Neodiprion lecontei: one gene and its partners. The protein of the gene in region 2 purifies or fractionates together with the protein of the main gene of each other region. This does not show direct contact. Links are inferred from orthologs where the notes say so. Each region holds a gene or a part of one and is shown on either strand. Other genes may lie near its edges.

Region 1 (6,994 bases), on a different chromosome or scaffold from region 2:
ATATAATAGTCACGCTTGTGTTGGATAAATTCCATGTTATAAACGTCGTTATCCGAATCGTCATCCATGTCTAATGGTTCTTCTTCATCAGAATGGCCCGAAAACTGTTTGACAATAGATTTACATTGAAAAGTTGAAAGGAATAATATTGATACATATCTTGCATTTTACGTCAAGTGGCCGACTTTTTTGAACAGTCACCGATTTTCATCTCTATTAGGTATTTTGTACTACTAATAGATATAAGTCTCGAAGCCAAGCCAAAGGCCACTGTGTGATTCTGTTGGCTACTTAGCAAACGTGATAGAAATGCTGTTTACGAACAGGCTGTTACCATGGCTCATGTCCACGTTGTTTGAGGAGGAAAGCTTATTTGTCTACAGTCTACTTAATTGTTTATGGTGATTTTGATAGATATTTTCACGTTCTTTCGAGCTATTGTACTTACATTTCTACCTAATTTCAATATGGTATTAAAAAACATAGTCATAAGTTGTACATTTATCTTTCAAGTATTCCACCAATTTTCAAATTCTTGGTTTTCACTTCTAAAATGGGCTAAAAATATGCCCAACATATGACTCAAGCGACAATGTTGTATTATTCTTTGTTCAGTGACTATGAAAAAAAGGAATCCAAATTAACTAAAGAAATTTGAACATTTTTTTCCATTTTCTAAAAGTTTAAAAGCACCTCCCATAGTCACCCTGATTGGCAAAGTGGGATTGTTTTCCCTTTGGTTGATATTAAAAAAAAAAAAGAATTGTGTACTGAAAAAAAATTGTTCTATAGAAAAATACTCGACATGCAACTCTGGATGAATGCAGCTCTTTGGATGTGGGTGGGTAATTTTTAACAAAATTTTGTCAATTCGAATTTTTTATTTTTTTATTTTTTTTAGTAACCACTAGACGAAGAATAATCCCAATTGTCACTTGGTATATATGTTAAGCATATTTTTAGTCTATCTTAGGTGAAAAGAAAGAATCTCAAAATGGCCAGAGTACTTGCATATCAAAAATACAACTTTTCATAGCATTTTTTAATACCCGTATGTAAAATAAAAGCACATTATATTCCAGCAAATTTTACGGTGTTTAGATATTAGAACCCGGTGTAAACAAGCCATCGAGAAATGAAATCTGAAATTTTATTCGAAAACCGTAAAATTCAGTCCAATTTGACAGGGAAAAAAGAAATACACGCGCGGATCCAACAACGTATAAAAGAGTTCTAAGCAAATACTGATGAAATCCCCACAATGAAACACAATAAGAAGCAAAACTGCATTCCCTACAAGTATTAGCATCGATTTGTGATTGCGCATTCGAAGAACAATGTTTACATACCATATTGTAGGTAGATTTAATTAAATCTTCCAAATCTTTATTTCCCGGATTTTTTGCTGAGGCTTCTGACGCATCTTCAGAATTGTGATAAGTGTGCCTTTCCGTTTCATTTGGCCTTCGACCGGTCTTGGATTCGAAATATTTTAAATCAGCATAATGCTCTGCAAATTGTTCAATATCCACCCGACTTAGACGTTCCATTAATTTTTCAAAGCGATCCAACTTCAAAGTACCGCCCTCGTTTATGTACCCTGCAAGACATTGCATTGTTGTATCAGCAAATATGATTAAAGAAGCTCGATTATGATTGATTATTAGATCCGTTTTAGCCGATGACGTCAATCAAGGGAACTGAAAATTTAGTATCATATTGAGACAAACAATCATCAAAACTACCGGCAAGCAGAATTATTGAACCAACCGTCCAGTGTAGGCAGCACTTCCATGTAAGCCAAGTATAAAATTGGCAGGGCACCGTTAGCGATATGTAAATTTGGCAAATTTGGAATAAAATCGTTTCCAACCAGGAAACCCATTAGTACCCAGTCATCGATAATTTTCTCAATGTCATAGTCAAATGAAAGTTTATCCTTAAGTGAAGAGAACTCGTGTTCGATATATTCTCGCATTACTGACAAATGAAGAAGAAAAAATGTGGTTTCCTCAGGGGTGGACACTCGCTTCTGTTTATTTCCAAACTTTATTTCTTCCCTCAGCAAGGAGAAATGAGGTTCGTGCGTGCACAGACCCAGCATTATGAGATCAGCATCCAAACCGTACAAGCAGTGCCTTGTGTTACTGTCATAATTCGATTGAGATTTAATATATCTAATGTAATCCATGATTTTGTGCTCTCCTTCACCTGGTGTCTGAAATAAATTTTTAGGTGAGGAAATAGCACGTCTCGTCAAAAGAAAACAGTTAATCATGAGAATTCCAACTGAATATATTTCAAAACAGTTGCGCGATATGACATATTTATTTTGCATGACACCTGATACAGGAAAGTCTGTAGAAAAATCTAGTGGTATGCAGTAACCTCATGTCCGCTCAGTATCACTTTGCACTTCTGCCAAAGTTTGTCCGTTGTTATTTTGTAGGTGACAAAATATTTGAGTTGCTCATTAAGACGTGTCATGAATACAGTTCCTGGTGTTATACAGTTGGAGTCAAATCGTGCCTCCTTCGGAAGTACTTCGCCCCTTTCCTTCGCTTTGGCTTCTAAAACCTCAGCTTCTTTAGCCGAGCGAAATCTGCGGCCCCTTTGTTGATTCATCTTAGCACGTGGTGCTACACCGTCGACCGCCATAAAAAATAGCTTTTGTGGTTGAATCATGTGAAACAATATTTCAATATAATGAAATATGTCCCGAAATATTTTTTCTTCCGATATACGAAAGTGGGGATCCAAGTCATTCGGATGAGAACATATGTGAATAATGCCATTCATATCCAAGTATAAGTTGTCATATTCAGGTATCTGAAAATTGAAAGATATTGTTGAAAAATGATATGCTTTTTTGCAGAAACTGTGGCATATACTCTTAGAATAAACTTTGGATAGCCGACATCTCTACCAAGGTCAAAATTGAAACCTAGTATATTCCTGCCCAGATACAATAAGTTGCAGCCATTTGTAATAAATTACATTACGCCTGTTCTACTTGTTTTTTGCCCATCTGCGAGTAATTATGAAAAGACCTGATTATGTTACATGATTTACTGATTAAAGTAATTACGAATTTCATTGTTTTAATGTTTTGGAACATGCACAAATTTTTGGATTATGACAGTCTATGTCATTCAAAATAATTTGGCTTTCGGCGATAAAATTGCACATGCAAGGAATGTTTCAAAAAACTCATTTTTCAATGAACTGCGTCAAACACTACTAGCATGTACATTTTAATCTTAGAAGGCTAATGCCATTTTATCTTGATGTCATACATGGTATATTGCCCAAGTATCATCTGCACTAAATTGAACAAAATAATATTCATTTTAAAATCTGAAAATGTCTTCAAAAAAGTTGCGGTTGTAAGATGTCTTTTACATTATTACAGGTTATTGAATTTTTGTCAACCCTTAGTTTACAGAACAGAAATTATTTTGCAATATTCATCCGTTACGTTAACATTATAAGACTTTAACCTGACAAGTCTGCAACATGCCTGACACAGACTTGTTAGCTCCGATGTCGAGTAACAGATTTTGTTACGATAATGTTCTGAGGTCGGCACAGTATTCAATCGCTGCGATAGATTTCAAACGATATAAGCTGTTACACGACTGGAATCAACAAGGATATCTGATTTATGAATCATAATCGTGTGCAAGTATCGGGCCAGTTTATTGAACCAAGTATTTGTAATCACTGTATTTGGACATGGTATGAAATGGACTGATCACCAGTATGCAAGAATTAAGACCAAACCAATTTTTTTTTAGAAAACAGGCTGATTGAAAAATAAGATCTGCGATATTTGTGAGAGCATGAGATCAGCTATGTCTCATTCATTTCGTTCAAGGGATAATTAATGTACATTTGTAGATGTGGTTCGATATTGTGATTTCGTAAGAGCATCATAATTGTTCAATTATAAACTTGTATGTACACACCTGATATTCCCTGACAACCTCGCTGAGGCATGGATATCTTTCGCTCATATACCTGAAGAATTTTGGCACGCCCATTTTTATGCCTCACGTAATGCTAAATTAGTATCAATCGTAAACTTACAGTTAGCACGCTTAAATATTACTTTGATGGTTCACATAAATGTATTTTATATTGATAATCACGTAGAAGACGTGAAACATAACCGTGTGTAACACCTGACCAGATGCTTAGGGTGCCACCACATGGAGCGTAACTTGCATATTGTAGTGATTCTGGTAATTTAAACGAAGTTACGCCATTCACATGAAGCGTATGTGACGTCGGAACAGTACCTAGTGGAAATCTCCAGATGTTAGACACCGGAAACATTCACACGCAGCTACAGCTAGACTCACATCAGTAGTTTGGGTCACCAATTACCGATTAAGTATTGAAATACACCGGACAACGGGCATTCTGTCGCTCTAGTCGAACGAACCGAAGAGGGAGAAATTGTTGGATAAAAGATTTAATTTGGCTTACCTTTTTGAGAGTATTCTGGATGCGATGACTTGTAGATTGGTGAGAGGTTTGAGCGGAATAACTGACTTTAATATTTGGATACTTTGACTAACTTGGTTTATTTTATAAGTTTGATATTTAGAAGTCACAAACGCAGAGTTACACAGTGTAAGATCTTAAACTTAGTATGACAAAATGGAGTTGAAGCTCGCTGAACTTTTGGGCAGAGTAACGTTGTATGAAAGTTTAAATGCAAAAGGCTGAAGGATTTTACCGCGAGACTGTACCGGAACTAGATCACGAATCTGGAGGTAGAAACCGAGAGAGCGATCGAGTGATCGGTCGCCCTTTTTATAGGGGTCGATCGTTGCGCAGAACGATCCCCCTCTCTAGTTTTTTGGTCACCTTTGCGCACCTCCCCTCTTTTCTAGGAATTCTAATTAGGGCACGACATCTTCGCCGCATGCACGCCTGTTATCTTAGTCCATTGGCTATTACTATATTGTAGGTTTTTACGTATGGTATATCGCTGCTTGGTGCGGTGGTGTAGGTGCGTGGACTTTGTTCCGTAGTTCTCCGAACTGCGTGAGCTTTTGGTTGAGGCGCCAGCCCCCTTCCTGGCGCCCGTCAGCCACTTAACTTCTTCCTGTCTACCTCTTAATGTTTTTGCTATCTTGCTCGTTACAAGGCCCATATTTCATTTTGGTCACCTGTCGTTTGTTAGTTTTATGGCTATTTCTATATAGAGTTACATATGTATCATAGTCGACTACTGTCGTTATTAACCTGGAGTACAATAGCGATTGTTTATAAAACATAGTTTGTTATTTGCTTAACATTATTAGAATTGCGCTGCTGCGAATATCCTTAGCTGTTTGTGTTATAACTATCTTAACAGATTAGTAATTTGATAATTCGTCGCTTTAGAGCAGGCTTACATGTGTGCTTTTTGTATATAACTCCTTTCTGTAGTTGTTAATTCTTATATTGATATAAATCGGCTTGGAAGCTTCTAGAACGTTTTCGTTTCGTCGGTAAGTTCCCTACTGTATTCTCTAGGTGAAGCTCTATATGGCTCCACATTGGAGATCTGCATTGCCTTCAAAACGTTGCGCGTGTTGCCTACAATACGGCGTTGCGGAAGAAGGTATAGTTCATGCTGGGTAATTAGCATTCACGGTTTGATGGTTTTGCAGCCTCTGATTTTATAGGTTGCAGCAGTGCTATCTTTACATTATATTGGTTATGCATTTATCTATGGTTTTACAATCTTCTATACTCCGGGCTATATAGTAAAGCGTATATTGCTTATAGTATAGCTCTCACCTCCGAATGCACAAATGGCATTGTTGAGTGCTATATAATAATTGGGTATAATTGTGTTAGTTAATTATAGTGTTAATATGATAGTGATATATAATAACGCATAATAGTATTATAGTTCTCTGTGGTACGAAGATCTCGTAACATGGTTTTTAAGCCTTGGCTAGTGAATTTCATAGTTATTTCCATCTAGGGATATTCCAAATAGTTAGACAGTTGTTTTAATTTCTTATGGTTACAAGATTCTCGTACTTTAAGTTTGGTTAGTTGATAAAAGTAACATGCAGTAATAATAGTCGATAAAACATACGGACGTTCCGGTCGGATGTTACACGTATTTCATTTTGCGCGTCATGCGTAACTGATACAACCAATTGTAGATCAGACCTTCTGCTGTACACTCGAAAGGAAATGCTACGCAGATTTTCAATAGGTTATTATAACATACGCCTTTCAAACAGTACGCGTCATAAGGGTGTAACATCCGACCGGAATGTCCGTATGTTTTATCGACTATTACTACTGCATGTTACTTTTATCAACTAACCAAACTCGAAGTACAAGAATCTTGTAACCATAAGGAATTAAAACAACTGTCTAACTATTTGGAATATCCCTAGATGGAAATAACTATGACATTCACTAACCAAAGCTTAAAAACCATGTTACGAGATCTTCGCACTACAAAGAGCTATAATATTATTATACGTTATTATATATCACTATCATATTAACACTATAATTAACTAACACAATTATATCCAATTATTATTTAGCACTCGAAAATGCCATTTGTGCATTCGGAGCTGAGAGCTGCAGCTATAGTACATGTACTATAAGCAACTTACGCTATACCATATAGCCTGGAGTACAGAAGACTGTAAAACCATAGATAACTGTATAACCAATATAATGTAAAGATAGCACTGCTGCAATAATCCATAAAACCAGAGACTGCAAAACCTTCAAAACCGTGAATACTAATTATCCAGCATGAACTATACCTTCCTCCGTAATGCCGTATTGTAGGCGACACGCGCAACGTCTTGGAGGCAATGCAGATCTCCAATGTGGAGCCATACAGAGCTTCATCTAGAGAACACATTAGGAAACCTACCGACGAAACGATTGAAGGTAAATCAACTCACAATAAAGTCAAAGATGCATACGTGGCAACGCCCAATGACAGGCAACCAACAAA
Region 2 (9,785 bases):
TTACTTGAGAAAATATGGCTGTGTTGGTGGTACCAGTGTGCTATGTGAGGTACTTGTGAAAATATCTGATTAAATTGTCCACTCCGAATGGGTGTATGAAAAACAGAAAACTTCAATACTTGGCTGATTTTACATGTATATTTTTTGTTTATCTGATATGCCTAAATTTTGGTTACATTTCTAATTATCTTCATTAATTTGAAATATGCACTCGAGCATTATTTTTCAGTGATTGTTTTGTAGAACATAGCCAAATTCTTGGAAATATCCAATATTCAAAAAGTCTCGTACATGGAAGTAACTGTTTTCATGTTTAATCGTGGAATAACTAATTTTTTCAAGATATTTTTATAGGCCTCAATGGACTTGTACGTAATATGTTATATCATAAACATTTATATACTATCCCAAGTGCCAAAATTCAATTTGTAATAAATATTTTGATGCTCAATGAACTTAACTCTGTTAATAATATTATACTCGAGGTATGCAAATTTATGTAGTAAAAAATTAAATACGAATTAAATTCATGTAGAAGCGAAATGTTTAGTTTGTAATAACTTCGTGTTATATTTTGGAATTTTGCAAATGCCATTGAAATAAAAAATCCTAAATTATTAGATAAGTTGATACTATTAAATTATTTTTTGTAATCTTGATTTTGTTGTTAAATAAATACATTGTTTATACCTGGTTTGAAATATTCTTGATCCCAATATATGGATAAACGTAATAAGTAAAGGTTAGTGAAAACTCTCTACCTCCAAACATTCCATTTTTTTGGTTTGTTGAAGCCCAAGATTTTTAAATTTTGTGTAGTATACAGAAGTATCAGAGAAAATGATATGCAGATATTTTTAAATCAAATTTATTGGTACCATAAGATTTTACAACGAATCTTCATACTGTAATTTATAGCTAGTGGTGCGTTTTCGATCCAAAAAAGAAATATATTAATTTCGCGATGTATTACGCTGATTATTATTCCATAATAATAATGCTATTGCTGCCAAATTAGAATATAGATAATTTTGTAACAACGAAAAGAAATAATCAGTACTACACCATTGATATTTCGGCTGGATTAGTAACTAAAATCCCCCCCAACACTCTAGCGGACTATGCATTTGTGTGTGTATCCCTTATTAAAAATAATATTAAAACTTTAAACGATCTTAAATATTGTGAATAGGTGCATTTCTTCATCAGACATCCACCATGTCGCACAATGTTATCAGCGATAAGCACTCTTATCCACAATGTTTCAAGATGCAGGTAGCATACTTTCTGTCCGATTAATTGGTGGTATTAATCCATCAGTAAATAAATGACCTAAAGAAAGTAAAATAATCTAGTTGCAGTTTGGTTTGGCTTTAGCAATAAATAAACATTGAACCAACAAACCAAAACATAATAAGAATATCGATCTTTGACGTTAATAGAATGTTTAGTTTATGCCAAAATATTGAAAGAAAAATGAAAAAGAAATCTAACTCTATGTTGAAGCATAGATTACATTACTCGATGGATGATTAGCGGCTTCATAAATTTCACAAGGATTTCGTCCTGTGCTCACTTGAAATTTATGCGCTTATAATTTTCGGCATAAAATTTATCGTTTCTATGCGTTTCGACATCTAGAGGATGAACAGTAGAGGTAACTTGTTAACAATGATACCTCTCTGATGTCTAGAAGATAGTTAGTTTTCCAAGTTTTTTCTATCGGAAACTTAGACAAAATTTAAAAGAACTGAAACGCTTAACAAACCCTGCACCTTACATAACTACCTCTGTCGCTGGCATTCAAACAATCTAGCCAGATTGGCCAGTTGGAGTTAAAGGTACGAAAGGTTGCCAGAAATTAGAGGAAGAAAAAACGTTACAGATCTTCCACATTTTGTTTAAGATATAAATGTGCCGATCAGCACTTGTCGCCTTGCCATGGGGTGTCTGGTCGCATTACTGCTATGTCGGCGCTTGTCAATTTAGAAGTGAATTACACGTCCCATTTTCCAGTGTCACTCGATCCCCGCGATAAAACGGTCCGTTCACTTGCGTTGCGGTGTTACTCATATCAGTTTGTCATCATTTTATAGTTGTCCTCGGCATGGTCACCTCTCATCATACCGACGACTTGTACTATATGTACTCGTTTGTCGAGCCGTTTTACCGTTTTACGCAGTTGGTTGGTTTGTATTTTTTGTCGAAGAAGAGTTGGTTTAATAAGCCTTCAGTCGCTCCCGCGACGCTGCATGGCGAATGCGTTGTTCAGCCGTATCTTTTCGGCTCAGTACGGTTGGGAGAACTGGCCTCCTGCTTGCGACTGGCCTGACTGGTAAAATCCGCTTCTATCTCCTTGATAAGTAGAATCCTGAGACAATAAACCGTCCATTTGTGACTGAAACTCACCAACTGCAAACGAGTCTTGTGACAACTCCGCCTGACTAAGACCCGGCTGGGACAGGCTAAAACCTGGCTGTGACATTCCTTGCGTAGTTCCTTGAGTAAGCGGGAGTCCTGGTTGGCTATAGGGCTGCGTATTTTGTTCCGTTTGACTGAGTTTACTTCCCCGAAGGCCAGCTTTGTTTTTAGCCGAAGTTGCGCCTCTGCGATTTCTTAGATTCTGCCTTGCTTGTAGGGCTTGCTGATGTTGGTTGTAGAATCGTGGTGGAACATGAGCCATGTTCATGAACATTCCAACAGGAACCGGAACATTGTTCATAGCAGCTTGTGCTCTCTCTGGGCTAATGTAGCTGATCGTATCATGAGTTCTGCTGAAAATATCTAGCGGAACATTTCTCTGGTAGTACGGATTATGATTTTGAGTACCGTTCACCTGATTACCAGAACGATCGTAAACAGAGCCAGGAATTAGAGCTTCTCTTGCGTCGTACATAGAAGTTGACATAAAGTGAGATCCTGGGTTAGCAGCATTTACCAGTTTCTTAGGCTTGGCAAATTGAATCATGGATTCTTTCAAATTATTCAGGGGTCCTTCGACAAGAACTTTCTGTTCCTTATAGAAACTAAGCAAGTGATTCCACAGAGGCTGCTTTGACAACACTTTTGGATTTCCAACAATGATTATACCGTACTTAGCACGAGTAAGTGCAACGTTCAATCTTCTAGGATCGTTTAAGAATCCAATTCCTTGATGTTCATTTGACCGAACACAAGACATGATAATTATGTCTTTTTCTCGACCTTGGAAGGCATCGACACTGGCAACCTCTATTTCTTGGTAGAGTTTAGAGTATAGAGAACCTTGGTATTGCATGTACTGAACCAGATAAGCTCTCTGACCTTCATACGGTGTGATTACTCCAATCTGTTCAGGTTTCACACCGCAACGTAAAAATCTGGTGGTAATTTTTTCAACATTAGAAGCTTCGGTTCGATTAAGATACGACGTGCCGCTACCGGCGATTTCTTCTTGTCCTTGGGTTACGTAAAAGAACATTGGCTTGTCAGGCGCAGGCCACGGAAAATCAATTTTCAGTAACTTCCGTTCGTCTGCACAGACACCGTTTTGCAGAGAGCCTTCGTAGAAAAAGTTGGATGGGAACCGAGATAGGTCTGGGTGCATACGGTATTGAACTTCTAAACGGAACGGACGAATACCCAGTACGACAAGTCGTTCAAATAGAGATTGAGATAGGCCAGCTCTAGCTGCTTTTTTGCACATTACAACTGGTCCTAGTTGGCAGTGATCACCAACTAGAATCAATTGTTTGGCTCCCAAGACTACAGGCACCATGCATTCAGGTTCCGTAGCTTGCATGCTTTCATCAATCAAAATCGAGTGGAATTTCAAACGGTGTAATCTTGGGTCTCCTGCACCAACGCAGGTGCAGCAAATGACGTCGGCAGCCTCCAAAAGCTCCTTCTCTGCCGTCTTTTTTAAAAGTCTATAACGTTTTTCATCAACACTCGATAATTCACCAGTTTCATCTTTCAATTGCTGCAACTTTTGCAGTTCGTTATTTGTTTCCATGTTCTTTATTTGGTTATGCAAAGCAAGGAAACTGACAGGCGAGTCAATAGCTTCTCTCGACTTGGCACATAAACGCACAACCTTTAAATTAGACTTATGGATCTTGTCAGTCAATTGGTCGACGGCAGTATTAGAGGGTGCGCAAACCAATACGGGACCTCCGTTTTGTTTTACTAGCTGGTAAACTATGGTTGCACTAGTTACGGTTTTACCAGTACCTGGAGGCCCCTGGATAAGGGACAAAGGTCTTTGTACGGCATGTTTGACAGCATAAACTTGTGATCTATTCAGATCTGGTAGATTTGGAGCGCTAAAGTGTTTTGGAAGATGGCAGCGAAACAATACTTCTTCAACTTCGTGACCAAGAAGCCTGTGATAAATATATCCAGACACAGAGGAGTCATCAACGGCGAATTTACGTAAAGCCAGTTGCATTCTGAAATACATTAAGCACGTTTTACAAACACAGTAAATTTAAGGTTTATTTAGCGCCAGAGTTCATAGTATTGTATCTAATGTACCGATCGAAACTCGTGCTTTTCCAAATGAAATCCACAACAAAGTTGCTAATGCATTCTGTTGGTGCACCTGAGTTATTTTTTAATTCAATGCCAACTTCCTCTCCGTAATTATCAGGTATCTTTATCACATGGCCAATTCCTGACCATGGCTTGTGGAGCTCTCCTAAGTAACGCAATCTCAATTCATCACCATGCATCAGTTTCATATCACCATCCGTTTTCGCAAGCATGAAGTAGGCAATGGTCTTCTTGTTCAAACCTACGTCCCAGCGTACCTGAAGAAAAAAGAACAATCGAATAAAATGAAAGATTAAAGACGACTACCGCATTATTACACAATTAAGAATATTATGAAATTTATTATTTCTGGTGTACAACCGTTATATTTCGAAATGAAATCGTTGATGGTCAACAAACCTCTATGTTTTCTTGCGTCTGTGACTCCTTAAGGCGCTTGTCGTAGTCAGCTTCCAACTTCACAAGTGGACCAAATATATTTTGATATTGATATCCATCTTCGTATCGCAGAAGAACTTGTTGCGGCTCTTCATCAACCCCTGGTTTTTCTAGGTCTTGAAACGTTGCATCTACATTGTCTCTCCATAACTCTTCCAACTTGTTCATTTGTTGAGCAGACATTTGCCTAGCTCTCAATTGCTCCTGATCAGATGGGATCTTAACCAACCAAGCCAGAAAACTGCGATCCGCGATTAGTGGTTTCCATTGCTCCTGATCCCTAGTGGTGGTGTATTTTTTCATAATTAATTCAGTTAATTTCCTCCAAATAAAATAAAAGCATTTTGGACCAAAGGAATGAACACTCGATCCATAACCCAATCGTCGACAAATGTCAAAGTGGCAATACTTACCAATTCATATCCTTCAAAGAGCTTTGGGCGGCACAGGGTTGTCGACAAAGCAACACCACCACAGAGTCGGCTTTGGCGGGAATAAAACCCAGCACAAAAACATTTCTTACACCACAGGAGTAGCATTCCAGTACCGTTTCACCTAATGGTCCATCTCTGTGAAATTAGTGATCAATGTTGAATTAGCAACTTTTGATATGAGTTTTATTCACATTATTTTAACTTGTTCGTCATGAAAATGCCGGTTCCTTTGGACGGGATGTAATTTTCGGCCTCGTTAAGTCAACAGGAGGTTATAAGTGCAGAAATTTTGAAACAGTATGAAAAATGTCATCTTGCATATTAAAAATGTTAAATCTTTTACCTGTGCAAAGTGACCTCCTTATGTTTGGCACGGACCAAGTGATTGATGATATGCGAACCACAAGTATTGCCACGACCATTGCAGAACCATTTGCGACATGCGTTGCACATAACGACACATGACGCTTCATGAATGCCGCAGTATTTGCAAGCATGTTCTGGCAAGTCTCGATTGTAGTATGCTTCCTCTTCTTCCTCTTCAAATTGGAGTTCGGCAAGACTTTGAGTAGCGCCGGTAATTTTCAAGTCGAGCGAAGAACTACCACCACCAGTTGTGCCATTAACCTACGTGTAAATAATAAAGATGCGTATCAATTAGTGATTGTTAAAATTGAATAATTTCATTGTGAAGTTGAAATGTTTTAATGAATAGCACAGTAATCCAGATGGAACGAAAGGGGTCGTAAAAAGTGTCGAAATATCACAGTTATATCATTATGGAAGCTTCTTATCAATCGTCAGCACCACTTTTGGCAATTATACAACATAATCGTACAGTTTTAAACATGTGTTAATGTTATGCCTATAAAAGCATTAAATAGATGTACTGTTACATCTACCAGAATGTTTGATGACTATTTGTAAAAGAAGGAAGGACAAGAATTGAAAAATCTACATTATGCTTATATTGAATGTAGCCAAAAGATAGATATTGTATTGACAATAAACTTGAATAAAGATTAAAGGGCATAAATAGAGAATGGTACAGAAGCAAATTAACATTGTGTTATTTTATATTCCATCGTCAACAATACCAATACCAATTTGAAGAGCTACTATCTTAGAGTAAGTTCAACCAAAGATGGGCCAATGAGCAGCGAACAGAGGAGCGACCTAAATTAATTGATTGTTTTCGATTTGTTTTAAATGCATGGGAAATAAGTTGAGTTTGTAATAGTTGCCAGATGAGGTACGGCATTGTTCGGAGCAGTGGTTATGTTATGATTTCTCAATTCGAAGAATTTGCGAAACACATGGAGGAAGATGGAAGCATATAAATATGAGCTTTCAGCCTGTGAGAATATTCAATCGCTGATCAAGGGAATGGGGATGAATTTTGATAGTGAAGTCTAAGTAAGGTTAGGTAGGTACGGGCCGCGTGGGCGTCCCGTCAATCGGTTTAAAAAATACTTTTGGCTTACCTGAACGGGTTGGCTCTGGCCTCCGTCGTGCTGGGAAGCCTGGGTTTGACTGGGTGAGGGTAAAGTGAAGTCAGTGAAGTCGAATTCGCTCCCCTGCGTATCTGCCCCGATCAAATCTGCTTCCTCCGTGTCGAGGAAAGTCAGGGTTTGGCTGCTAGGCCCGTACGCGTCGACACTCATGCCTAAAATTTCTAATATAACCGCAGCCACGCCCGATTGTAAATAATATTACTAGTAATGTACGCTCGCAACTGTTCAGAGATGTCTGTGGAAAATACAAAATGCAACCGATGTAACTAGCCACGAAATCCTACGCCATATTTCGCTTGTGCCCACCAGCGCACCAACACCAATAGCCGAGCACACTACTTTTTCTCTCCGCCACTCGTCGCCTGTTACGTCATCAGCTGATTTGTGATTGTCACAAGGCTACTGGAGGCCCTGGAGACGGAAGGGTGTCTCATTTCTTGACTCGCGACCCTCGAACATCGAATATCGCTTATCGATGTCACGACTCTCGAGTTCCTAACCTCGTTAGAAAAATAATTAACCTACAATACTATCCTTCGTGTCAACAAAGATGCGCGAGAAACGTTTTCATATCAATACTTTTATTCGAATTTCTTCAGTATCGCATAACTTGGTATTTTACTTTCGAATAATCGCCGAAGGGTTCAAATTCTCGGACAATGCTCGATGGGTAAATGATAATTCTTGATACTCGCTCGGACTATAAATTTTTATTGTGCGTTTTTATCAAGTATTATAAATTTCAGTTTTTATTAAACTATACCGTCGTCGGTCATCGACACTTTTACCTACCCACGATTGTTTCTACATCGTGGAATTCGCAAACTGAGCGTTTGCAAGTTTGTCGCAGATAAACGTTTCATGTTTGTCTGCGATTCAATTTTTATCATTGACATTCTCGATCGTTTGTTTTTCTTTATTTTTTCCGGTGAAATTTTCGTCTCAATTTTTGATAAATTTACAGTTGAAATTTAATCAATTTCGAATCCCAACGGTACTCACGAAATTACATAAATATATTCAAAATTGTAAGTTATATTTTTAATTCGACGTCGTTCGTATCCGAGGCTGAGCTTCTACGTCATGCTGATAGATGGCACCCGACAACCCTGCGATAACTATTGTTATCATTTAACCTTTCTGGCCGCCAACGAACGTTCAGTGGTTTAGTTATACTTGGCGCGTTCGCTCGTCGAAAATATTTACTCGACGTTGAGAAAAGAATAAAGGTAATTTGCTTCTGTCGTGGATACAGTCGCTTAACGCGCATAGCTTTTACGCCGCCTCAAAATTTGTGAAGTCATGCAACCGACGGCCTACAGTCCAACATCCGCAGTTTGAATCACTCTAATTCCACATACACTCGTTACGGATAAATTGATCGATTTGAAAAAGTATAAATAAGCCAAGAGTATCAGTTCTTCGTAGCTTGCTTGTGCTGTCGCCACAACTGTTCACTTAACCACGAATCTATGATCTTCGCTACAAGGTTGTTTATGTGTAGGTCTACCGAGCACCTGTTCAAATTCAAATATTCAACAATGGCTTCTTCCGCCTCGAACGTTGACGAGCGGATGCTGAAGGCTTCCCGGAGGATAGTCCCGGTCTTGAGCACCTCAAAATACAAGGGTCAGGACGGAAGGATTGGAATATTTGGCGGGAGTGCCGAGTACACCGGAGCTCCGTTTTTCGCAGCATTGAGCGCACTCCGAGTCGGGGCTGACTTGGCCCACGTATTTTGCACGAAAGATGCGGGGGTTCCCATAAAGTCCTTCAGTCCGGAACCGATCGTGCATCCAGTTCTCGACCAGCACGATGCTGTAAAGCAGATAAAACCGTGGCTCGATAGGCTGCACGTGATCGTGATTGGTCCCGGTCTGGGAAGAGAAGAGAAGGTCTTCAAAGTAATCGCGGACGTCATCGTGATTTGTCGCGATCTGAAGAAGCCCTTGATCATAGATGCGGATGGTCTCTTCCTGATTACCCAGAAGCCAGAACTGGTCAAGGAATATCCGGGGCTTATCTTAACGCCGAACGCGATGGAGTTCTCTCGACTGGCCAAGGCCTTTCTGGAAAAGTCGATACAGCCGGCTCCGGTCGCTAAAATATCGGACGTTAAACACCTCGCCGATGTCATCGGGAAAAACGTCGTCGTTCTGCACAAGGGTGCCAAGGACGTGATCGTCGATGGTCACAAGGGCACGGAGACATTGTCCTGTGGAACTTCCGGATCTCCGAGAAGATGCGGAGGCCAAGGTGATCTGCTGTCAGGAGCTTTGGCCGTCTTCTACTGGTGGGCCCTCAGTGCTGGGCCCAGTGAGTGTGCCTTGTCCCCGGCGATGACGGCCTCCTATGCTGCGTCCAGGTTGACAAGAGAGTGCAACGCTGCCGCGTTCAAGATCAAACAGCGAAGCATGCTTACGACAGATATGATTGAATTCATACAACCCGTATTCGCTAAATTGTTCGAAACGCACGTTTACAAATGAACTTCACGTGATGTGACTCTTGACGCACTTATAATTTGGCCAAAATTATCATTCTTACGAATTTTAAGCTATTCATACCGTGGAATAACTCTTCGTTTTTAGGTAATAATACACGAATCTTGAAATAACTCAACTCTTGTACTTCACTCGCTTTCTCATAACGTTTCATTTCGTATGCTTACTGACAAGATAATTTGCCCGAGGTGGGGATAAGATTTAATAAAATACCGCCAACATTGTATATTGTCATACTTCATCTCAAGCTTGGTTTAACGCACATCATACAAGTATGGGAGCGTGATTTATTGTGATGTATAAAAGAACAAAAAAGTTTTCGATAAATAGAAATAAAAAAAAAAAAAAATGCAGTAAAATAA
Region 3 (9,966 bases), on a different chromosome or scaffold from region 2:
TCAATAGAATACATACACTCCAACAAGAAATATTTTTCAATGAGCGGCATGAAACAAGATAATTAATATTTAAAAATATTCTATAACCAAACACTTTGACCCAAATCCGGCATTAAATTATGTACATTCACAAAGCTCATCATTTTTTTACAGATTGTAGAAATATATAGTCAGATATAATTGTTGTCAACGATTGATAATTGTAAGGATGTTTTATTACCGTGGAGCAATCATTTGCTTGTTTACCCAAAAGGGTTGTATTTTTTCATGACAGGCGAGTTACGTTATTATTTCCTTGATACATACAAATATCCTAGTGTCTCAAGGCATAAATTCACATTCAACCATCTAACTTCACAAACGTAGAATTCCGGTCTTACTTGCTGTGTTATCTAGAAAACTGATATTTTTTTACAGAACACATGCCAGTTATGATTCTGTCATTCGCATTTGAAGGTATGAAAATTATTGCGTTTGGGAAAAACACTTGTTGGCATGAAGAATGTATTATAGCTCTTTGCATAAATCTAACTTACTACAATTACTACTAATAACAAGATTTCACTGCGTCAATTTGATGATGTTATATTTTAGTTTCTTCCAAATTGGAAATTATTTTTTCATTCAATTTGCTCGTTTTTGGTTTTTTTCAACTCTGCCAATTGAGGAACAAGGTAAGATTATTGCGCTACTTTTTCACGTAGGTACTAAAAATTACTAAATATAAATCGATCGCAATTTATCCTGCAATTCAATTTCTGATAGCATTAGGAAATAAAAATAGGTAAATCTTATAACCATACGACTATCATAACTACATCGATCAATTCGCCAAGAGTTTACATGCATTCATTATTAAAACTGAAACACGAACCTCGTGTTAATAAAACATTTATATGTTTCTACATGATTATAGAAAAGTAATATTTTTACATTTATGCGGCATAATTCTTCTACAAAGACGTTTTAAACAAAAGTCAGTTTAAGTGAAATGAAACGTTTTTATTACACACCTTAAGTGTCCAAAACTGCTTGGACTATTTTACAATTTCGCAATCATCTCTTTTTTAGTCGCTTATACTAACTGCTTATACAGACTGAATAATTACAATACAAATGTTACATTTGTATGTGATATCTATTAATTTATGATTCTATTTATCATAATTTATCTATCTTCTTTTTTCTGATTTTACCTTTTCTGTTTAATTAATAATCGTATGTTATATCAATGGCTACTCAACGGTTAGATAAGCACGGCAAATGGCTAGAACGAGTCACAATCAAAGTTTATATCAAACAAGCCTGTTCGTTTTAAATGATATCTTTGACTTTTAAAAAAAGATATATCAGCTTATGAATTCAACAAAATTCAAGAAGTTAGTATATCTTATATTGTTGATTTTATAAACTTTAAACATTTGCATATGAATAAAAATCAATCTTAAATATGTTTTTATTTGACTGAATTGAGGAAATGGGAAAATCGATCTGAAGCAGGTGGAAGACCTAGAAAAATCTTGTGCCAAAACAAAGGAGAGAGTCGCTAACAAAATAAAAACGTGCTGATGTAACACTGGCCCGGCCAGAGAGATAAAGTTAAAGTTATAACTTTGTCGAAAAAGAATTTCATCCCATGAGACTTTTACAATGCAATTAATTATGCACAATGTGAATATAAAATTCAAATTGAAACTGGCAGATAATAACGCCAGATAATTAGTCAAAATGCAGATAATACGAAATTATCCTTTTATTTTGCAAGCGACGAACTAAACTGGTGAAATACGGATACCACCCCAAGTTAGTAATAAACATAACATAACATGTACAGTAGTCGATGGCTGATGCACGATAAATTAGCGATTGCCGCGACATTATTCGCTTTATCGCAATTTTGAAATTCTCCAAAATATTTTCACTTTTTCTGATGATCATCACTCGTTAGTTATATTTACGTGACATTCAATGATGATGACAGTTTCATCAACGTATTCACATCATATTAACTCACTGTTATAGTCAATTGAATATGATACGTGATTAAAAAAAGCTAAGTGTAAATAACTAGGCAGCAGCTTCCTCAACCGCGGGACTTTCCATTACCTTATTTTCTATTTTCGGCAATTCAGGCTCTGTAGTATTAATTATCACTTGTTCAGCGGTTTTGGTAGTTATGACATCATCACTTTCCAAAACATGTTGCTCTTGTTGTTGTAGCTGCTCCGTTTCTTGTTCATTGTCTTGCCGTTGCTCTGTCATTACGACCACATCTAAGCTGACCTTCAACTCTTTTGAAGTTTCCGAGATATTGGTGATTTCAGAATTGGATATTACATCCTTGTCTTCATTGTCGACGGAATTTTCTCTTACTTCAGTGGTCTCATTAACCGCAAACTGATCGATTAGTACCTGCTTCTCTATCTGAACTCCAGCAAATTGTGCCTGTACGAATTTCCCATCGCCTTCCACCATGTTATTCTTACTTTCCGTATTTGTTCTTTGCACGCCGCCAACTGGAACGGAAATGATTTGTTGTTGTATTGTTCTACCTCTACCTCGACTAGTCATATGTTGCTGATTGTCAGGTGGCGGAAGAATAGGAATTGCAGCCTTTGGTCGTCTCATAGGAACTGCATGCTGTTGTTGTTGAGCAGGGCTGTAATAGGTACAACCCTGTGGCTGAAAGAGTTCTTGGGGCGGCGGCGGCCCTTGTGGCTGAAAACAAAGATATTGGTTTTCGTTATTACTCTGTCGTAATTAGGGTACTAGAAGATAAGTTAATTTCTAAAATTTCGTTGCTCATTGCAGGACATTTCAGAAATTAGCTGCTAATAAAACTACCATTTATCAACCAACCTGAACAGGCGGACTGAAGCCTTGATAACCCTGGAAGTTAGGTTGAAAGGCAGGCCCGTTCGGTCCCTGTACGTAATTAATCATGCTTGGCGGTGCACCCTGAGGTGGTAAGAACTGAGGTGAAGGTACCAAAAATGGAGGTGGAGCAAAACTTGCTGGTTGACCACCTGGAGGCAAGGGAAGGACCGGTTGTCCAGCTAGAGGAGCTGCCGGCGGTGCTACTGGTGGAGCCTGATCAAAGTGACCCGCAGGGTATCCTAAAATCATAGAAAAAACTTTTGTAAGTAACTGTTCATATTTATTTAGTGATTGAAAAGTAGGCAGCTGATGTTTCATCATCTGATCCAAAGTTTCCTCAGATTGGATAACTCATGAAACTCGCCAACACATGCTTTTTCACACATTTCATACACAAAATATTTTACACGAATAAAGCAGAAGCCTTATGGATAAAACATTTTTTAATTACAAAAAAGAAAGCATATATCCCAAAGTGCATAGGAAATCTCAAGACTTGCACTGTGAATTTATGAATAGCGATCACAATCCTTATTTTCAAGTAACAATGCAAAGATGAGGTATACTTCCCATGCTTGTGTGGATAAAAGCCACAAAGCACAAGTCATTGAGAAGATTATAACTGAAAGTAGTACGCTGAAACTTGATCTGTCATTCACTTTGTAAAATAACATTGAAGTCAGCAAAGCTAGTACAATGATGTTGCAAACTAATTAAAAGTGCATTCTCAACATGTAATTGTCAGATGATCTGCAAATCAATGAACAGCATCAAACTAGAGAAATAGTCAAATCGCGCACACGATACTACTGAATCTTTTTTGTCAAATTTACCTTGGGAATCTAGAACGCCTCTTGAATTTCCAGCTAAGAACATGTGAATACAAATGTTAATACTAAAAGTAAAAGTTAATAAATTTCGGTAAAATATACAATTAGCCTACAGCATACACGTCACGTTGACATATTCGAAAAAAAGTGCAGCATGGTCGTGTCAAATAATCGTTGCATCGATCAGGAAATATTTAGATGAGGTTATGTTATAAGATCACAATAAAGCGAATGATTTCGACTGATTAAATACCTTGTGGGTAATAGCCATGTTGACCATGCTGAGGCTGGTAGCCTTGCTGTCCAGGACCCTCTGGAACTGGTGGGCGCTGGCGTAAGCTTGAATACCGTTTAGGTCTGTTACCAGCTGCGTCATGCTGCTGTTGGCGAGCTGATTGCTGCTGTGCTGGCTGCTGCTGTTGCTGTGGTTGCTGGTGCTGTTGTTGCATACGTGGAGGAATCGTACCAGGTCGAACTTGGCCTGGAGATTGGACATACAAATTTTCTGTAAAGATAAAAAATAAGCTGTTAGAAAAGCTTTGCAAGTCAAGATGCTCGTTGATCATATTGTCAGACAAGCATAAAATCTTACTGTTCTGTCTGCTATTCTGTTGAAAAGATCCTCCGTCATTGACATTCATCTGTTTCATATCGGTAATTATATGATGATCGTCGATGTGATTATTGTCTGAATTATTTCGCCTATTATCAAGTGGAACTGAGCCAGATCCACGACCTTTAGCTTTATAATCCAATCTGTTGGATCCTGCATTGTTAGTGTTACCACTCGCTTTGAATCCTCGACCTCTGGCTCTACTGGCTGCCAAACTCACACTCTCCTGGACCTGCCTTTTGTTCGAATCACGAGGCGAGGATTTGTGATTCAGTAATTTGTCTGCATCACCACCACCACCGCTTCCATTAGAACTTTGACTATGCGAATTCTGTTTCACTTCCTTCTTCCAAGCTGGATTTGTTGGCTCATTAAGGGTTCGCATTTCGTTTCTATAATAAAACATTGATGTTGAATTGATGAGTATGTTGGGTAAACACTTTGTAAAATAGTTTGCTAGTGGCATTGTATTTTTACTTTTTTTTTTCTCATACTTACATCCCAGAATCATTTGTAGGACTAGTCTTCGAGTTTAGAGACTCATGCTGTGCTTGGAGAGGTGGGAAGTTTCCTGCTTTGGGTTGAGATTTGTTTTTGTTGCTATACCACGCCGAAGTGATAACTGGTTCTTCTGGTGTGGTTGACCTGTCGTCCTGTGAAAAAAACACACCTTCGTTAGAGACTACATACACTTGCTTTGTTGAACTGTAAAAAGATACATCTCAAATTGTTCTAATTCAACGTGGAACTAATCGAGTATTTAAACATCGACTGATACTAACAATAAGTAGCCAGCTGGTACAGTCACCTATTGCGTAATTAATTCAAAACAATATGATCAAAATAGAAATTCTCACCTTATTATTGCCACCACTTAATGCAGGAAACTCTTCTCCACTTCGGTTTGTTTTTCTAACACCACCTCGGCCAACTGAAGGAGGACCACCTGGCTTACCATATGCATCTTCATCCTCCCAGTTTCGCGTGTATTTGTTTGGACCGCGACTATTATTGGAATAAGGATAAGTTAGCAGAGTACCAGAAACTTTTACACAAACTTGATACTGATGAATTAAGAGTAAGCATGGTGAAAAAATTTTGTTCTTGTAGACAGTGATCAGACTTTCGTTTGCTATGCAATCAATATTTTTTATTGTAGTTTTTTTAATTCTTTAAATGTTTTAGCTGCCAATGCTGATAATATCTTGCTGAATAACAAGTTTCTAAGACTTTATAGTGAAATGGTAATTGATGTCTATTTACCCATATCTTCTCCTCCGTCGAGCTCTAGGCGGGCCTTCTTCGTTTCGAATATCGTAGCCATAGACAGCTACTAGTTCATCATGGCTCTTGGGTGCTTGTTCATCGTCATTATACCTATCATGATCCCATCGATCCTCCTTGTCTTTCCAGACTTTCTTTTCTTTCACCTCTCTTTCGTTGGGATTTTCTACTTTTTCTTCGGCTACCTCCTCCGTTGTTCTGTCATCGTGTTCGTAAAACGTACCTCGCTTAGGGATATACTGAGGATTACGTCTGTCTTCATCGTCATCCAGTTTTCGCTGCGGCTTGTCCTCCTCCTGTCCATCTCCACTCTCCCGTAAACCGCCATCCTGCGAGTCTGCCTCAGACCTGCTTTCGCCTGTCTCATATTCTGAGTCACGATGCTCCTCACCCTCTGTAACTTCGTTACTCTATTGGATGAAAAAAAATTTTTAGTCGAAAAAAGAATTTTTTTGTCCCGTAGAAGCTCAAAATTAATTGAAAACCAAAATAGGCCCTACAAATGAATGACCTAATCTAACATATAGAGCAATTACTGTAACATCAAGCCATAAGTGAGGTACAGTTATGTATCTGGGTGAAAGGCAGCCTACCATCCAGCTCCAGTTTTCATTTACAGAAAAATAAGAAGGCCAATGTAACTATGCAATAAGAAATAAGCTACCAATCTGTTTCTAGTACAAACTCACGCTTTACGACGTGTGACCATAGTGACGATTATCAACACGTCGTCAGCGTCTTACAAGCATTAATTGGGGATATGAAAATTGTTTAACTCAATAACTTGAAACAATGATTGAAATTAATTTAAAAATATTCATTCAAATATATAACTCGCATTTAGCAACAGATGGCAATCATTTTTATACATTTTTCCCAGTTGATATGACGATTGCCAGTGGATGTATTGTCCTAGCAGATAAAAACGGAGAAAACTAAACACAAACAGTGGAAAAAGTTGCAATCACATAAAGATATCAATTTCCGCGTTGTCGAATGAACGTGTTTATTTTTCGGCATACAGTAATATATGGTAAGGACGAAAGTTTACATTTTTTACAATTGATTCGACGGCAGAAAATCTGAGATACTAATCTGTAAGTACACGATGCGTAAGTGTACAGTGTCTATATCTATTGGCACGGATATCAAGATGATTCTAAACAGCAGAGAATTCAGGCTAAATATAAGTGACATACGAAGGGCATAACCTGCGAAAACGTTGCGGCAAATTTTTTTGCCGTATAATTGGATGGCACATTACTGAATAGAACTTTATCAGAACCTGGGGTGATACACGCAAATTATAACGAGAAATCTTTGAACTTTCGACCTCATTTCTCCGGTGCGATCAACCTTCATCGACAAACGGTCAAGTCAGACCGTAAATACAACGCCCGTTTACGTTTAGAAATATAGATGTTGAAACAATAGTTGTCAAATAAAACTAACCTGGGTTTCCTTAGTTACATGTAACTCCTCGTACGAATCCGAAAGATCTTCAGATCCTCCAGAAGTATTAGACTTTCTACGACGCCGTGTATCCGACATAATTAGTTCACTGAAGCTACACACGTTCGAGTTTTGCTCGTACTCCATGTTAGACTGTACAGAGACTGACCGATTCGCATTCGTCGCGTTCGTTTTGTTCGTTGTCCCCCTAGCGTCGTCGCGACACACTAAAATCTACTGCCAACATGCAGTCAGTATGATGCAGAGTGGGGGGAGACTGAGTGACCATAGAACCCGCGACGTTCGAAATTATGATATGCGAGACCCCGTTATTTCATCAATGTTCTTATGGACCCCAGATTGAACACATTGGTAAAGAAAAATAGAACACAACATATGTCATTTTGGAAATCAAATGCCTGTTCAGAATCTGAATCAGAGTGATATTTTTTTTTCAATACGAATATCTCGTCACCACTCGTGACGTTTACTGATGGTATACATACATGCAAAGGCTGCTAAAACATGCTCTAAGGCACTGATGCTAGCCTTAAGCTGGATTTTTACGGGCGTCAAATTGACGCGATGACAAATTAACGCGGCAGTGTCACGCCGTCGCGTCGGCAGCAAAAAGACGCCCATGAAAATGACTACCAACGCACCGGCAAAATGCCGCAAGTATGAACTACGTAATTGAGTGGGTGTTTGTCAGTTGCGTTTTTATCTAATAATTGAGAAATCGAGGATTGTTAATTGGAAGTGCACTGAGAAAAATTTCATTTGTTAGAGTAACTAGAAAAATTCAGTAAAATAGGTATCGTTAAATGAACTGTTTGAATATTGTTGGAATTACGAAAAACGACGTACACGTAACCATTTTGCGCTATTGTCGATCCTTTTTTGGTAATTGCAACGCAAAATCAGTTTCTGAGGTTTACTCTACTTTTTTGGTTAAATTAAATTTTCGCAACGGTTGCAAGAAAATATAGTAAAAGTGTTCGTAATGAGAAAGAATAGTAACGGATACCAGACTTTCTGGTAACAGCTACAAATTTAATTTTCATTTTGTACCTAGAACTATATTTTTCGATTGTGGTAAAGAATAAAAATAGTTACGGACTGAGCGGTAACCGGAACTAAAAATTTCTCTCAGCGTGTGAACAAACGGAAAAAATGGAGAAGCAAGAAGGAAATGAAATAAAACGGTAGCAGTTTTTCGAAGTAAGAGAATAGTATCGTTCATTTTCATTATTCCAGAATCGTGAACTCGTGCATATTTAAGATGCCTCTTCATACATTTATTACCGCATAGCCCATACTGAAAATGCTGCGGTGTGTCCAGGGCCTTTCTTTTGGACGATTAACAATAACAAAAATAAAATCAATGATTGATTAATTTGAATGAATTACATGTATTACGATTACAAAATAATGAGAATGAATGAAATTATTTTCTCATATCTCGGACAGCAATTCATAGATATTATAGACAAGCTCTATGGAATGGAGTCCGAATATGCTGCCGGCAACGAATCAAGAGTTACAGTCGAAAAACGAAAGATTTCCTTCGTGATTCCTCTGCTGTTGATCCTACGCTGTTTTTGATGTTTTTACCGCATTCCTAAGGGTCCAATCAGTGGAAAAAAAAGACCTGCAAAACGATTCTGAGACGAAAAGTTTCCGAGCTCTAAAAATCGCAAAACAGCAAGGCAGCAGCAACCCCTTTGGATTTTTTCGATGAATCGATAGCGCGCAGTTTGAATACGCTATGACTAACGGTGTTCGGCCCTGCATGCCCGAATGTTTTGTTTTCATATAGTTTTATTGTATAGTTACAGGTAATTTTCAAAGAAAACGCTGGGTCGACAAACGGGAATTCACACATACCTGAAAGGGATGAAAGACTTAGGCCAGGTCGGTTCGATTCTGCTTTATTGGACAGACAATCGCACCACATTCTGCAAGATAATGACCGCCATGCTTTGTTCTGCCGCTGATAGACAGTAACCATGCTTTCTACTAATAATACAGCCGTCGAAGGGTACCACGGAACGCTGGCTTTGTATGCATTTACAACATGCAGGTACTCGCCAAATGTGAGTGCAGACATTGCTGGACAGCGCGTTCAAAGGAGACCGTGAGTCACTTTTATTGCTTTATGGTTTATTGTTAAAACCGGAAATACTTTATTGCCATGATCCTTATGCCATAACATAAAGGTTAACGATACCGTTAGGTTTAAGTTATATATTTCTTGTGGTTAATTGCTTTTTCAATAAATTGCTCATCGCACTTCAGTCTGTTGTAATTACTAGGTATAATCAATTGAAACCTACTCTAATATTCGGTATTATGACTAAACACCTGTACTGTTAATTACGTTTTTGAATAAATTACTGATTTGTTGTTAAATAGCATAGCATAGAAGAAATAATAGGCCCTTAGAACATTCGTCCTAGGGAACACGAACAAACGGATCAACAGTTACGATCGGAAAGTGAAAGATTTCCTTCGTAAATCCTCTACTGTTGGTCACACGCTGTTTTCAACGTCTTTCGCATTTCTGAGAGTCCAACTACTATAGAGTAAAAGAGCTGGAAAACGATTCTGAGAGGAAAAGTTTCCAAGCTATGAAAATCGCAAAAAAGCAAGACTAACCGCTTCAAATTTTTTTCAATTGAAATTTGGCTGTTTTGAAGAAAAAGTTTGATTGATTCTCTGATGCACTAGGTCGACGTAATTGAGAGAGAAAAATCGATTGGACGTAGTAGTTCCAATGCGCTGCGGGAAATGGATCAAAAGTTACAGCCCAAAAACAAATGATTTCCTACGTAATTTTTCTGCTGACGATCCCACGCTATTTTCGCACCTTTTTTTGTCTTTCTGAGGGTTCCGTTAGTCAGGAAAGTG

The links.
Region 1: the proteins of regulator of nonsense transcripts 1 homolog (region 2) and 5'-3' exoribonuclease 1 purify together in Homo sapiens (affinity purification with western blotting; 4 studies listed by BioGRID and IntAct, with this or other methods). This does not show direct contact. The link is inferred for Neodiprion lecontei from reciprocal best matches to the Homo sapiens genes UPF1 and XRN1.
Region 3: the proteins of regulator of nonsense transcripts 1 homolog (region 2) and protein CASC3 purify together in Homo sapiens (co-immunoprecipitation; 5 studies listed by BioGRID and IntAct, with this or other methods). This does not show direct contact. The link is inferred for Neodiprion lecontei from reciprocal best matches to the Homo sapiens genes UPF1 and CASC3.

Annotation. Positions count from the first base shown.
Region 1 is NC_060263.1:41,908,013-41,915,006, reverse strand, and holds the start of 5'-3' exoribonuclease 1, read right to left. Parts: upstream 4,220-6,994; 5' UTR 4,044-4,219; coding exon 3,969-4,043; intron 3,647-3,968; exon of another isoform or gene 3,519-3,646; coding exon of another isoform or gene 3,501-3,518; intron 2,830-3,500; coding exon 2,389-2,829; intron 2,219-2,388; coding exon 1,771-2,218; intron 1,601-1,770; coding exon 1,350-1,600; intron 1,155-1,349; exon of another isoform or gene 1,140-1,154; coding exon of another isoform or gene 1,068-1,139; intron 105-1,067; coding exon 1-104. UniProt on the Homo sapiens protein: Major 5'-3' exoribonuclease involved in mRNA decay. Required for the 5'-3'-processing of the G4 tetraplex-containing DNA and RNA substrates. The kinetic of hydrolysis is faster for G4 RNA tetraplex than for G4 DNA tetraplex and monomeric RNA tetraplex.
Region 2 is NC_060265.1:24,664,462-24,674,246, reverse strand, and holds regulator of nonsense transcripts 1 homolog, read right to left. Parts: upstream 7,406-9,785; 5' UTR 7,070-7,405; coding exon 6,890-7,069; intron 6,033-6,889; coding exon 5,749-6,032; intron 5,541-5,748; coding exon 5,385-5,540; intron 5,252-5,384; coding exon 4,933-5,251; intron 4,791-4,932; coding exon 4,516-4,790; intron 4,431-4,515; coding exon 2,288-4,430; 3' UTR 853-2,287; downstream 1-852. Other genes in the region: ATP-dependent (S)-NAD(P)H-hydrate dehydratase, read left to right, coding at 8,392-9,408. UniProt on the Homo sapiens protein: RNA-dependent helicase required for nonsense-mediated decay (NMD) of aberrant mRNAs containing premature stop codons and modulates the expression level of normal mRNAs.
Region 3 is NC_060262.1:37,918,893-37,928,858, forward strand, and holds protein CASC3, read right to left. Parts: upstream 7,220-9,966; 5' UTR 7,204-7,219; coding exon 7,057-7,203; intron 6,015-7,056; coding exon 5,584-6,014; intron 5,326-5,583; coding exon 5,178-5,325; intron 4,974-5,177; coding exon 4,819-4,973; intron 4,713-4,818; coding exon 4,300-4,712; intron 4,213-4,299; coding exon 3,961-4,212; intron 3,744-3,960; coding exon 3,711-3,743; intron 3,117-3,710; coding exon 2,860-3,116; intron 2,719-2,859; coding exon 2,068-2,718; 3' UTR 988-2,067; downstream 1-987. UniProt on the Homo sapiens protein: Required for pre-mRNA splicing as component of the spliceosome. Core component of the splicing-dependent multiprotein exon junction complex (EJC) deposited at splice junctions on mRNAs.